Schizosaccharomyces pombe: one gene and its partner. The gene in region 1 interacts genetically with each later gene. Each region holds a gene or a part of one and is shown in the gene's direction. Other genes may lie near its edges.

Region 1 (8,295 bases):
TCGTGTAATTTCAAACATTTATTTATTATTTATTTATCTATCTGTCGGTCTGTTTTCTTTGCTTATTTTCCGCATTCATCTTAGCTTATATTTCAATCGTTGAATCCCATCCCTTGCTTCATTCGTTTTTCTCTTCTGCCAACAAATTCTTCTAGAGATTGCATCTTTTATCGTCGTTAAGGAGATTGGTTAAGTAGTTTCCCTCTCATTTTTTCAATCTCTCCTTTCTAGCTTATTTTGGGTTTTTACACAGTTCAAGTTTTCCTTTTATCTGCCTGGTCCCCAAAATCTCGGTTTTGCTTTATTTTCTTTCTTCAAATTCGACTTTGTGCGCTTGAAGATTCGATTTCAAGCAATCATTATTATTTCTTACACTCTTTCTTTGGATGACTATTTTCGCCAACACATCTATCTCTTCATTTTTGCAACTTTTTAGGCTTACTAAGCTTCTTTTTCTTGTATAATAATATTAACTGATTTTGGGTACGTGTCTTCAACATGGCATACCTTTAGAGATTTCTGTTTTTTTCCAGTTAGGAGCACTGTTTAGTCAATCTACTCGTTCTCCTCATTGTGTTCGTCTTCCAATTTTTGTCATCCATTTTTACTTTTCTACTAAATTTTCGTCGAAAGCTTTCATTGTTAGCTTTTTTCCCTTTCATAAACTCGTATTTTCTTCTCTTTGAGAAAAAGCTTGCTAAAAGTTTTCATTTTTCTCCAACAGCTGCTTAAAATTTCATCTTAGATATTTCTCTACACGATGTCGAAAGTTAACATGCGAGCTTTGCTCGAGTCCTTTAGTACCGTGATTCTTTCTATCTACCCCTTGGCTAAAAGTACAAATCAACAATCACATTCGCACTCCCTTTCACTTACTCAGTTTTTGTATGAAACGATTCGCAGAAGTCGTGTCGATTACACTACGTTGCTTCTTGCTTTATATTACTTCATCCGTTTTCGTGATGCTGCTTCTTCTAAGCCTACTAACTACATTCCTCTGTTATGTGGGCGTCGTCTTTTCTTAGTCTGCTTGATGGCCGCTACAAAATTTTTACAGGATCGTAGTTTTAGCAATCGTGCTTGGTCTCGCCTATCAGGACTTCCAGTTGACAAATTACTTGTTTTGGAATATATGTTTTACCAATGCATCGATTATCGTCTTGTCGTTCCTAAACATATTTTTGCTAGATGGTCTCTTTTAGTTGGTGAATGTTGTGCTCACGCGACTGCACGTTATGATTCCACCGATCCTAATGTTGCCTCATTTGGCAGCGTCGCACAATATTGGGTCTCTTTGTTTTCTAATGTTCAATCTTCTCTAGATGATCTTTTTTCCATTGCCTGTTTAACGAAGATAGCACATCGCAGAATGAATGCTAATGCTGCTTTGAAGAATCAGGCTACGAGGAAGCCCTCCTCTTCTCCTCAAACAACTCAAGACTCATCACCTATTCTTACGATGGCACCTTCTACTCCAGTATCTGTTGGCAGTACCCCTCCATCCACTCCATCTGTTTTACCCATTGCCAAACAACTGGCTCCTATGAATGTCTGTAAAGCACATATTCAGGCTTCAAATCAGTCCCGCACTTTGACTACTGCTTCGCCACCCGAACAAATACCGCTTATGGAACCGCAAGTTTATGTAAATCCTCAAGTATTACCGGGTCGGTTGTCAAGCCTTTCTAAGCCAGTTAGTCTACCACCAACTCCTTCTTCACCAAAGGTTGGAGTATATCGGCCAATGACTTCTAAGTCCAATGGAGGTGTTGCTTACTGCTATAATGCTCAAAAATTGAACAATGCTACTGGTCCAGTTACATTTAATATGCCTTTTGCAAGCGTCTTACCACTTGCCGTATCTGTGAGTTGTGATCTGGGTACAGCGTCTGCATATGTCGCGTCCCTCCCTCAACCTTGTTCTCAAAAAAGGCATTTAGAAGAAGACTACTCATGTTTAACGGAACACAGTGCTAAGCGTCGCAGTTACTTTTAATTATCAAGCCCAATCTGCGCTGTCTTCGCCGCTTCTTTCAAAAACTATAATATTTAATGAATAATTTCATAATACTGATGCCATTTTAACAGCGGATGTCAATAAATACCGATAATGTTTTCTTTCTATTGATTTATCTATTCAAATTGTGTGGAAGATAATCATGATATGGGAAACTTGATTAGGTTTATATTACTACCTTCTTTTCATATCTAGACTTGTCAATGTTTTGATTAAAAATCAAATATTGTTGTCGTTTCTATGAATCTTTTTTTAACATTCTAATAGCAAAACGATGTATATATGGTATGAATGAATTAACGATTGGCAACTATATTTACTTATGCATCTTGTAAATTGATATCAGTAGAGCAAGGTATTCAAAAAAGATAATTTTGTTGATTTCTTATGGCCATAAACTTGTCAAATAGTCAAACTATTTAGAGATTATGTATGTGCTCATTAAGATAGTTATATATTTTAGGCAGGTGAATGTAGCCATTTGAAATCTACTACTGAGCTCCAATCCTATTTGAAGGCTCTAAGAGTCCTTTCAATCATTTTTTAACAGAGTTGTCTAAGTAATATTTTTTCAACGATTAAACTGTGAAACATTGAACTAAAATATCTTGATCATTTACAAAAGCAGTAATTGCTACACCGTACTACTAGTAGAGCCAATTTTGATTACGGTCTTTAAAACAATGTTGAATACACTAATTGTAAGCGATTTTTGTAAAAACTAATAATTATACGTATCTTCTTGAACATCACGAAAATTAACTGATATTTCCCTAAAGTACAGTTGCAAGTAGGAAGGATTAAGACAAAACAACAAATTATATACTAAAAATTTTACAAATGTTAAAATCAATTTCACATATATATTTTGTTGTAATTAAATGCACTCAAATACTATAGCTTACAAGTTTAGGGAGCATTACGGAGAACATCCCACATATGCTGTTCTATGAATGGGGTTTGGATTTGGCCATCACCACTTCACCGATTTACTGGTTCTTTTGAATAGTTGAAGTGTATGAGTACAATTTCAGAAGTTGGACCTTGGGAGCTTGGTCTTTCCTTAGGATCAGGAGGACCAAATTCATCACGTTTAGCCAAACATCGTGAAACTGGGCAATTAGCCGTAGTAAAACCGATTGTAGGATGGTCCGAGCTTACTTCGAGCCAACAGGCTAGGATAGAGGGTGAATTAGTTTTGCTTCGATTGATCGAGCATCCTAATGTTTTGCAGCTCATAGATGTGATTTCAGCCCAGGAGCAACTCTTTGTCGTAGTCGAATATATGCCAGGTGGTGAGCTTTTTGACTGCATGCTTCGTAAAGGAAGTTTTACTGAGCAAGATACGGCAAAGTTTCTATGGCAGATTTTGTGTGGATTGGAGTATTGTCATAAACTTCATATCTGCCACCGGGATTTAAAGCCAGAGAACTTATACTTGGATGCCCATGGTTCTATCAAAATCGGTGAATTCGGTATGGCGTCTATTCAACAGCCAGGAAAGCTTTTGCAGACTTCCTGCGGGTCTCCCCATTACGCATCCCCAGAAATTATTATGGGGCGTTCATATGATGGTTGTGCTAGCGATATTTGGTCATGTGGAATTATATTTTTTGCTTTGTTAACAGGGAAATTACCGTTTGATGATGACAACATTCGTTCTTTGTTGCTAAAAGTCTGTCAGGGTCAATTTGAAATGCCATCAAATATCTCTCCTCAAGCCCAACATCTGTTGTACCGCATGCTTGATGTTGATTCATCTACTCGAATTACCATGGAACAAATTCGTGAACACCCGTTTCTTAGTTGCTTTGTTCATCCCAATATTTCTATTCCAATCATATCAGCCCCTATACAACCCATTGATCCATTAATAGTGCAGCATCTCTCTTTAGTTTTCAGATGTTCCGATGATCCTATGCCCTTGTATGAAAAATTGGCATCTCAATCACCCTTGGTTGAAAAAACTCTATATACTCTACTGAGCAGACACTTGCATCCGCCTTCCAGCGCTGCAGTTGATCGCAACCGCGCTGTGGTCGATGATCTCCTTGGTACAGCAGCATCCAACGGGCAGCAAATGGACGAGGAAGAAATTGAACAAGCTATCAATATTCCTACTTTAGCGCCTTATCCAATTTCTTATGCTGCAGAGTCTGTTCCTCGACCTGCTACTTCTGCATCGCCATTTCTTACACCTGTTACCACTTCTGGCACTTTTAATTACTCTTTTAATGCTACCAACCCCCAATCCATACTTCAACGACCAGCCACTACATCTTCTGCTGTTCCTCAACTCCCAAAATCAGTTACCCCAGGACTTGCATATCCCCACGATAGTTCAATGCTGTCATCAAATTACCGACCTCCTTCTGCATTATCTCCTCGCAACTTTAACGTTTCTATAAACGATCCGGAAGTTCAACTAAGTCGTCGCGCTACTTCACTGGATATGTCAAATGATTTTCGTATGAATGAGAATGACCCTAGTATTGTTGGTAATTTAGCAGCTTCCAATTTCCCGACAGGTATGGGACCTCCAAGAAAGCGTGTCACTTCTAGAATGTCCGAACACACTGGTAATCGAGTCGTAAGCTTCCCGCGCGGCAGTGCTTTTAATCCAAGAGTTACTCGCTTCAACGTAGGAAATGAACAATTCTCTAATAATATTGATAATAATAACTATAATCAACCATACGCAAATGCAACCATGAACAACTCTCGTCGTCTTCGTACCCCTAGTGGGGAGAGATCAATGCGTGCTGATCTCTCTCAATCACCAGCCTCTTATGATTCGTTGAATGTTCCCAAACATAGAAGAAGACAATCGTTATTCTCTCCTTCTTCTACAAAGAAAAAGCTTTCCGGCTCACCTTTTCAACCAAAACGATCATTTTTAAGGAGATTATTTAGTAGTGAGCCTTCTTGTAAATGCGTCTATGCCAGCTTGGTTGCTTCAGAATTGGAACATGAAATTTTAGAAGTTCTTAGAAGATGGCAGCTTCTTGGTATCGGCATTGCTGATATTATATATGATTCTGTGAGTGCTTCGATATCTGCTCGTATTAAACGACAAAATTCACTTAATCTTAAACCGGTTCGGTTTAGAATATCGGTACTGGCTGAGTTTTTTGGTTCACAAGCTGTCTTTGTGTTGGAAAGCGGTTCTTCTACAACTTTTGACCATTTGGCTACAGAATTCCAGCTGATTTTTGAAGATAAGGGGTTTTTGGATAATTTGGAACTCTCTTATTTTCAAGCTTCGGCATCCAGACCTGTTTCTCGAATGAGTGTAAGTAGTAGTCCTTTTGCTGTATTTCGTCAACGACAATCCGTCCAAAGTTAAATTCTTTTATTATTATTATTATCATTTTTTTTTGATTCTCCAAAACCTTTGCAAACTTCATTTTTCTCGTGATGCTTTGGAAAAAAAAGGATTATCAAAAAAGCTAATCGTTTGATAATTGAACATAATGTATACTCGTGGAAGTATTGGAACTTTTTGAATTAAGCTTTCATTTTGTCCCATATTGGAACTCTTTTTATACACCAACAATATCTTTATAGACCTCCATTCTTTTTCTGATGTTTTTCTTTTACTTGTTCAACTTGCTATATGGAACCACGGTTATCCGGGAAGCAATAAATGCATTTAATGATTAAATTATATTTTGCTGCTCTGCTACAATGTTTCTCTTGGAACCTGTTGAGTTTTGTACATGTGATGTTGTACTTGGAACTTACTCCAATGATAATAACTTGCATGTCTGAAGCAAGGTAATTTTTGTATTTAGTATGACCGGCTATTGCTGGCATCTTTTTTGAAATACATTTTTCTTATTTAATTTAGGTATAAAATTTTTTATCTTAATCAATCTTTTCTTTTGGCTTTCTAACTCTTCGTTCTAAATCACAATCTTTTTAGTCTCGTTTATTTCAATCGATTTGACTTTTTCTTCATCTTATTTATCACAATCAACTAGCACTAGCGGATACAATTTCAATGAACTGCAGCATAGGTCGTATTATGTTTAGAAATTTATGACCCTTCTGCTTGTTCTGTATAAATTAAATTTATTCCAATTAAGTATTTGGTCGCTCAATGCTAATTAGTATGATATTAAATTTGAGTGGAATTCAATATGTAACCTGCTTACTTCGATAGTTGAAGAAATACATTTGAAGTTGTAGGATATCTAGGTTATCTGCATTGTACAAAGAGTCTGTTTTTTTGGAATGAAGTACGTGACATATTATTAAGCACTTTTAAAATTGTCTGTGCAATTGCCTTTTCAGTATTTTTAGCGAGGTTGCAACTTCAACTTATTACTTGAACAAGCAGCGAAAAACTGCAAGAAAATCGTGTAAAAACTAGTAAATACCATGGCTAATGTAGAGTTACAAACAAGTTTGGTAAGATCTTTTCCAAGCTCAAGCATTTAACATTTTTTAGGGAAAAATTCTTATTGAATTGTATACAGAACATGCTCCTAAAGTACGCATCAAGAATAAAGGACGAACAGTGTTGTTTGCTTTGAAAGTAGAATCGCTAACTTATAGACATGTCAAAATTTCTATACTTTAGCAAAAGAAGGATACTATGATGGTGTTATTGTAAGTTTTTTTCGCACTGTTTGCATCGTGCAAATAAGCATGTTGAAATATGAGTCTACAATTTAATATTTCAAGTGTGTTATTTTATTGATTTAACTGTTCACATTTACATGATGGACTCAGTCAGTCATATAAATATGTGTCCTATAATTCATTCAATATCGTATTTGATTTAATTCGTGAAATTGGTACTAATTAAATTAGTTTCACAGAGTTATTCCAGACTTTGTAATTCAAGGAGGGGATCCCACAGGTACAGGTCGAGGTGGAACTTCTATATATGGGTAGGCAAAGCTTTATAAATCGGCATTCACCGATTGTTTGCATCTTTATTACGAAGTTTTCACATTCTTATTAATTGATTAGGGATAAATTTGACGATGAGATTCATTCCGATTTACATCACACTGGAGCTGGCATTTTATCAATGGCCAATGCTGGACCTAACACAAATTCATCACAGGTATGATGACTTTGTTTACACTAACTTTAACCATCTTCAGTTTTTTATCACTCTAGCACCTACTCCTTGGTTAGACGGAAAACATACAATTTTTGGTCGTGTTGTTAGCGGGCTTTCTGTGTGCAAGCGTATGGGTCTTATCCGAACGGATTCATCTGACCGCCCAATTGAACCTTTAAAAATCATTAAAGCTGTTGCACTTTAAATTATTCTTTAAAGGATATTCAAAGGTTTTAATCTATAAGTCTTTTTTCGATTTTTCAACACATCCTGAAGATATTGACTAAAGTTATTTGTCACGGATATTAAAAGCTAAATTAATAGTTGATAAAGAGAAGCATTTCCTTACAAAAGGTGGACTTTTTAATTGAAGTCAAATTTTACAAGTCAAGTGGAATAACATAAGCTTCTAAGAAGGAATTAACTAGTTTTCTAGCTTAAGAAATTGGAGATGGATTTTGTTACGCATATCAACCTAGTTGTTTGACCATAAACGATTGAACAAAAACCTTTTACAACGTTAGCATTGCTTCCGGTACTTTTCTCCTTATCAAAAATTTTACAATTGTATTTTTTTCTTAATTAGAAGATTAAAGCTCGGGCCAAATATACAACTACAAGAGTTTATTGGACTAGATTACTCAAATACTATTGCTTCAGTTTTTTTGTTACAACGTGGGATGTTATTTTAAAAAAAATTCAGAATCAAAATAAAGTCCAATGCATAAAAACGGCATGAATCCTTCTCTTTTTTATTTAATTCTTCTTTTAATTGTTTACGCCAATTTGTGTGATCCATAATTAGCAAATTATTTTACGTGTTTTAACGTATTACGTTATAATTGTAATTAAGCAAATAAATGATATTTGTCAATTGAAGGTTCGAATGTAGTGGTCACGGAATACTCACAAGCATGATAATAATGTTTTTTAAGGTCCTAATATATCTAATTGACCTTTCACAGCTAGACATATCAACATATGACCAAAACTTAGCTTCATTCCTCAAGCGGGAAACATTCATTAACTGAAATTGTCCATGAGAAAGACTTTTTCTATTGAAAGATAAGTTTGAAAAGGCTACAAACTTTAAATACTTTTAATAAAGTAATTTTATTAACTAACTATTCCTTTGCTTACTTATAGATTTAAGATACTAAGCCACAGTTACGCAAAATTGGATAATGAACTTTAGTGACAT
Region 2 (6,528 bases), on another chromosome or scaffold:
ATGCTATCAGATTTCTTCAAAAATCGGGTTTTTTTATTAATGATGTTTCAATGCAGCTATTTATTTATTTATTTTTTCGACATACTTCATGATATTCTCCTTTATGTTAAGAGAACTCGCTTAATGGGAAAACTTGGGAGTATTAAAGTCATTTGTTCGTATTTTTTTTTATGAAAAGTAGACTGCTTGTAATAGAAAAGTACTATAATAATTTAAATGATCACTTTCATTTAATATGGTAAATGCCAAGTTATCATTCTCCACTAAACAGATCTTCTTCAGGAAACAGACCTTTTATTTTTGACCTGAAGGTGTGATAAATCAGGACATTAAGAGAAATGAAATTACAAGTACAGTTTCTCATCTTTTACATATTTTCGTTAATCGCCCTATAAGGTAGTATCCCTCTTAACTGTTTCTCACATTAAATACTCATTCCTTTCTGTTAGAAAATTCAAAGCGAATGTTCATTCAAAGCGTCTCAGCAAGTTTTTAAGTAGCTTTTTGGCAATTTCTCGTTCTTGCTCTCTCATTTCTTCAAACAATTTCCCTCTATTTAAGCTTAAAATTAGCGAGTGTGATCTAGTGAGGATGATAGATCAAAATCTTGACTTCTGCAACCGATGTCATGATCGGCGGTAGTCTGACTGTGGTATTTCAACTATTTCGCAAGTTTTTAGTCGTGAACATAAAAAAAAATATTGAGCATGAAACCTTCATGCTCATAGTGAAGACGATGCAAGTCTTCTTTTGCAAACCGTATGATTCTAGCGAAGCATAGGCCTAAGTTCGATCTTTCTTTCAATGCTGAGGAAAGAAGGTTAATGGTGGATCTAATACACCTCTTGTTCCGATACTCGGAAACTATTTAATATTGCCGTTCACTTCGAATGTAGAAGCTTTTGCTATAAAATAGCACTGGTGAAAAAAAACTATTTTATAACTTTATACAATCCAACACTAAGGCATGTGTAGTATTCATGAGCAACCGGTAAAAGATTTGAGTGATCAAACATTCCAGTCAAGCTACGCTACAAAAATTTCGAATGATCAAGTGACAATGAAAAGCAAAAAATTTAAAAGCTCAACTGAAAAAAAATAAAAACTTACCTTGCATTTGCAAACGCCAGCAGCAAATCAATAGCTATTTACACCTATAACGCACTTTAAAGCCAGTTCGATATACTCATATTGGGCAACCCAACATGTTTTTAACCATCAGATTATCTTTGCACAGCCTACAGCGAATATTGCGTAAGATGCTTAGTTTATGTGGTAAAAGAACTTTCCACCGCAGAAAAGGAAAGTATATATTTTATACATTTACAAACATTTTAATACATAAACCATTTATTTACAACATTAAAATTAGTATGCTTCTATTGTTGTTGTATAAATTTTTTGTCTATGCATTCGATCTCTGACGCGCACATAGAAGCCTGCGCCCGATTCACAACTTGCCAACTACCATCAACTGGTTTTGTTTTTGTACCCAATTATTTAAGGTGTCAAATGTCTGCTCAACAGTTTTATGGTGATAAGGGCTATGTATGGAATTTGTTATGCAGCTCAGTTGCAACAATTTATTCAGGATTTTACTAACAGCTTCAATTTTAGGCCCCTGCTCCTCCTCAACAAGCTTATGGAGGCCCAAACTATTATCCTCCTCAACAAAATTATCCTCAACAAGGTTATGCTCCTCCACAAGGCTATCCTCAAGGTGGATATCCTGCTCAGCAACCTATGTATGTTCAGCAACCTCAGGCCAGTGATCCTGGTGGCGATCTTTGCTGTGGTCTGTAAGTATAAAGAATGGGCGCGTAGAAGACGTCGAAATTGCATTGGAACGGTGAAGCACACTCTTAATTTTGAAAGGTGAATGGGGTATTCTTTATTGAATTAGGTCATTACGTCAGTCGATTAAAGTTGCTTTGGCGTTCCTTTCGAATAGTTCCCTGTTGAACTGTGTTTTGCTTTACCTTTTTCTCTTTACTAACGACTGTTTTTAGATTGACCGGTCTTGCTTGCTGTTGCTGTTTGGATGCAATGTTTTAAAAAACTATTTGGCTTGTTCTTTCTACTTTTCTCGAAAGAGAGCATGCACCACTGATTAAACTAAAAGCCGTGTTTATTTTCTGACTTGAGTGCAATTAATGATTGTTGGTTATTTTTTCATTAATTCCCTCGCCAGCAAACAACTTTATGGCGAGGATTTATTTATTTACATTGGTAAAGCGTTGGTCGAATAATTATAGATCTTGATTTTTCTGTACAGAGTGTCGTCTCACTTTTTGAAAATTGCTATTACCCAACCGTTTAATTTCAGCTTCTTTTCTTCGAAATTAAAACCTTTAGTTTTATGATGGACTGTCTTTTCTATTTTTTAAGCGCAAAATCTTTTACAGCATCCATTGGTCTAAATCGTTCTTTATGAATAATTTTTAGTTTGGATTAGTTGAAATGACTCGTCCTGAAAAAATTCGCATGTTTATTTATCTTGCTTACCCTGAAGGGGCAATATGTGTGTTTCGTTTTTAGCTAACCTTTCTATGGTTTGTCTACTTTTTTGCTGCTCGTTATATGTTGTGTATTCTGTTTAGTATGCTGTTGTTTTCTTTTAGTGTAGATGAACTCTTTAGATTTCCCAATATGTTTAAGTTTGATAGAGTCGGTTTTTGATCGATACGTATAAGAATTCCTTATTTGTTTTTTAAAAAGATTTTAAAAGTAAATTGAGGCATATATCTTACGTAAAAAGTTTAAAGTTTCTAAGATTTGCTTTGACTATTTCAAACAGGTAGATAGATGCGTGCTTTTTCTATGGTGGAAATACGACAAACTTGTTCACGAAAATGAAGCTCAACCATTGCGACCCCCCTTGATTCAAATGCTATGAATTTGGATGCGCAAGCTCGTTAAGACAAAAATTGCCATATGACTTTTATTGCAATGAGCGCTATATCTACAAATACTCAATATCCTTTATCAATTACCCATCTATAAGTATTATTTATAATCGTAGTAGTAAATGTATTTCATTGCAGCTATACTCTACTTCCTATTCAATTACCTCCTCCATATAGCGAAAAGACCGTTCACGATATCACAAAGTTTATTAACATACAATAACGAGTTCACATATTAAAAGAAATATGACGATACGCAGTGTGTAAAATAGTGTACTGAGAGGACGTCCAATGTAACATGCGATCGGGTTCTTTATTAGTTTGTTGTGTTTGTGCCATACGTTGAAAACCACCGAATTGGGAAATATTGTTAAAGTTGGGTTGTTTGGACATAATTTTGTTAAATTCGTTTAAATTATTTATATTTTTAATTATATTTTTACATGCAGAACAATTCAGAGATCCGATAGAATGTCAGGTAAGGAATTCCTATGTAAACAAAGCTAATCTCAAAATTTAGAAACTTTGAACACTCCGCCAACATATGCATGGGTTTTGAAAGCATTTTCTAGTAAATTAGCAGGAACTGTGACGAAGCCTGTTACAAAAATGTCCTCTTACATTGAGGATGCAGAATCTGATGCAGAACTTCCGCAAGACGCAAAAGAAGACCTGCGCCCAACTGAGACATTAACTCCGTTAAAAAGTAAAGCAGCACAAAATGGGATTTTGAAAACTCCAGGTACTTTACAAATAAAGAAGACCGTCAATTTCAAAGATATTTCAAAAGATGCTGCGACGTGGAATCGTCCAACGAAAAATAATTTCTTATTTACGAGATTAGATGATGAGAATCCTTTAATGGGTCATGAAGAATTCAAATCCCCTTTGTTACAGAGTACTCCAAAACCGAATATTAATAATCCGGATAATGAAAACAAAAGTAAGCATGACGAGTTTGATAATCGCTATAATATTAATATCAATGAATCCTATAAAAATGAGACAAAAAGCAATCAGAGATTAGGCGAAGATGTCCCTTCAAAGAAAAAATATCCTCACTCGATGGATGCCGAGATCTCTAAATTCAAATGGGATAGTAACAATAATAATGACTGGTCAAGTTTAATGAAGGATTGCTTTCGAGATGTTGTGAACAATAATCGAAAAATGAAGGAAATTATTAAAGACGTTATGATTGACACATCCCAAGCTTTTCCCTCTGAGAGCTTGGATGAACCTGACTATACGATAAACCTTGATGCGCCTCGTTCCTCTTCAGGAAAATACTGGAAGCAAAAGTTTAGTATGCTAGATTCTGCTCATTCGGATCTTGAGTTAGAATTAACCTCTATCCGTGAGCGTTTGGAATCCTTAATTTTAGAGAAACAAGAGGAAATCAATTTTTGGAAACAACGTTGTCGAGCTTTAGAAACGGAGAAAATCCATAATCATCAAGGACAACAGTCAAAATACAAAGGCAAGGAATTCGTTGGAAATAGATTTAGCCAAATGAGGGAGCTTTATACTGCTAAGCCAAGTCCGATTACTACTAAAGTTGTTTCTAGGCCATCCCAATCTGATGTGCGTGAGCCTCAAGAACAGGTTCCTTCCAAGAATTTACATCGGGGAGCAGATATGTCGCATTTGGCAGCTCAAATGCTGACTCATTCATCAAAAAAGTCCCATACGACAAACCTAATACCTTCTGAAGGAATAATTTCATCAACTCCTATTTCCGCAGCTTCCAAAGTACGTATGAATTTAATGCAGTCTAATCAAACTCCTACACCTGCTCCATTTTCAATAGCAGCAAAGAAGTCCCACTTACCGTCGAAACTTAGTTTCCCACAAGATGGTGGTAGCTTATCTTCTGCTACTACCTTGCAGCAATTGCCAAAAGCAAGAGTGACGCCAAACGTGTTATCTTCTTTAAGCTCAAACCTTGGAAAAACAAATCCAACGTCAGTATACCAATCAAAAGCGAACGTAACTACAAGTGCTGATGTTGAAAAACCACAAGTTAAAGTTGCAACTAGTTCTCGCGTGGATTATGATTTGAAGAGTCCAAATCAACGTACTGCGAATGCAAAGAAAAGATTAGAGGAAAGGAGAAGACGAAGGAAGTTGAAACTTCAAGAACTTCAGTTGAATTCCTGAAGGTATAATTTTACTAGATCGATATTGTATAATTAGAATGCATATCCTTTTTAAGTAAAGGACTGGAGCCTTAGTTTCATTTATTTTTGTTGAGGAAAGGTGTGTGCATCAAGTATTGAAAATTAACTATATTCCTTTCGAGAATTAAATAAAATATAAGTCCATTATTAATATTAACTCAAATTACTAATTTTTAGTATAAATGATGGATTCATTATAAGAGGCTTGTAAAAGGCCGTATTAGTCGTGGATATTGTAATTTAATTTCATCTTTTCATGCAGTATTTTACTAGAAAAACATTCAGCTGTACATTTAGATCGTAAGCTGACTGGAAGAATTCCATCTCCTCAACCTCCATTTGAATCTTGTCTTAGGCCATACGCAGTAAAAACTTGAAAGTAGCAACAATTTCATATTACCACACTACGATAGGTTATTAAATGGGAAAATGGGTGTCTTAGAAAAAGTAAATAAAAATATCTGCCGTTATATACTAATCTAAATTGGCTAGATTCAAGAGATTGAAGCTGAAATGCGCCGGACGCAAAAAAATAAGGCGACGGAGTACCATCTTGGTTTGGTAAGTTTTTTTAATTCATTTCTAACTGGAATGCCTTTTATTTTATAGCAAATATTACAATGTTGTTCCAACTTATAAAGAATCAACTCTAAATTAAACTAACCTAGTCCTTTAGTTGAAAGGAAAACTCGCCAAGCTGAGGGCTCAATTACTTGAACCTACTTCAAAATCGGGGCCAAAGGGGGAGGGCTTCGATGTTTTGAAAAGTGGTGATGCTAGAGTTGCATTTATTGGATTTCCATCTGTTGGTAAATCTACTTTGCTGTCTGCTATTACGAAAACGAAGGTTTGCTATTTCTTTTTAAATACTTTATTTTTTTACTAACAATGGTAATATAGTCGGCGACTGCATCTTATGAATTCACTACTTTAACGGCTATTCCAGGTGTACTCGAATACGATGGAGCAGAAATTCAAATGTTAGATCTTCCAGGTATCATTGAAGGTGCCTCTCAGGGAAGAGGTGGCCGCCAAGCAGTATCTGCTGCACGCACAGCTGATTTAATTTTAATGGTTTTGGATGCTACAAAAGCTGCCGATCAGCGAGAAAAAATTGAGTATGAACTTGAACAAGTTGGCATTCGTTTAAATCGACAACCACCAAATGTGACCCTTACCATAAAAAAAAATGGGGGCATTAAATTTAATCACACTGTTCCTCTAACTCATATGGATTACAAAATGGCATACAATATTTTACATGAATACAGAATCCACAATGCAGATATCCTAATTCGTGAAGACATCACCGTGGATGACTTTATTGATCTTGTTATGGGAAATCGGCGATATATCAATTGTCTGTATTGTTATAGTAAGATTGATGCCGTTTCGTTGGAAGAAGTGGACCGACTTGCTCGTTTACCAAAGTCTGTCGTTAT

What was found.
Region 2: of cdr2 (region 1) and cut12, changing one suppresses a phenotype caused by changing the other (phenotypic suppression), as found in Schizosaccharomyces pombe (one study listed by BioGRID).

Annotation. Positions count from the first base shown.
Region 1 is NC_003424.3:1,361,811-1,370,105, forward strand, and holds cdr2 (serine/threonine protein kinase Cdr2), read left to right. Parts: upstream 1-2,985; 5' UTR 2,986-3,035; coding exon 3,036-5,363; 3' UTR 5,364-6,158; downstream 6,159-8,295. Other genes in the region: cyclin Pas1, read left to right, coding at 761-1,996; cyclophilin family peptidyl-prolyl cis-trans isomerase Cyp1, read left to right, coding at 6,401-6,430, 6,471-6,512, 6,578-6,631, 6,836-6,915, 6,998-7,094, 7,135-7,299. UniProt on the Schizosaccharomyces pombe protein: Acts as a mitotic inducer. In G2 it negatively regulates wee1, a mitotic inhibitor. Also has a role in cytokinesis where it required for proper septum formation.
Region 2 is NC_003423.3:537,906-544,433, forward strand, and holds cut12 (protein Cut12), read left to right. Parts: upstream 1-3,250; 5' UTR 3,251-3,377; coding exon 3,378-3,384; exon of another isoform or gene 3,385-3,426; coding exon 3,427-5,066; 3' UTR 5,067-5,263; downstream 5,264-6,528. Other genes in the region: tail anchored plasma membrane protein Uvi15, read left to right, coding at 1,513-1,548, 1,618-1,799, 2,010-2,055; GTP-binding protein Gtp1, read left to right, coding at 5,516-5,533, 5,579-5,647, 5,763-5,933, 5,987-6,528. UniProt on the Schizosaccharomyces pombe protein: Required for bipolar spindle formation. May act as a regulator of the p34cdc2/cyclin B kinase. Required for full activation of the plo1 kinase.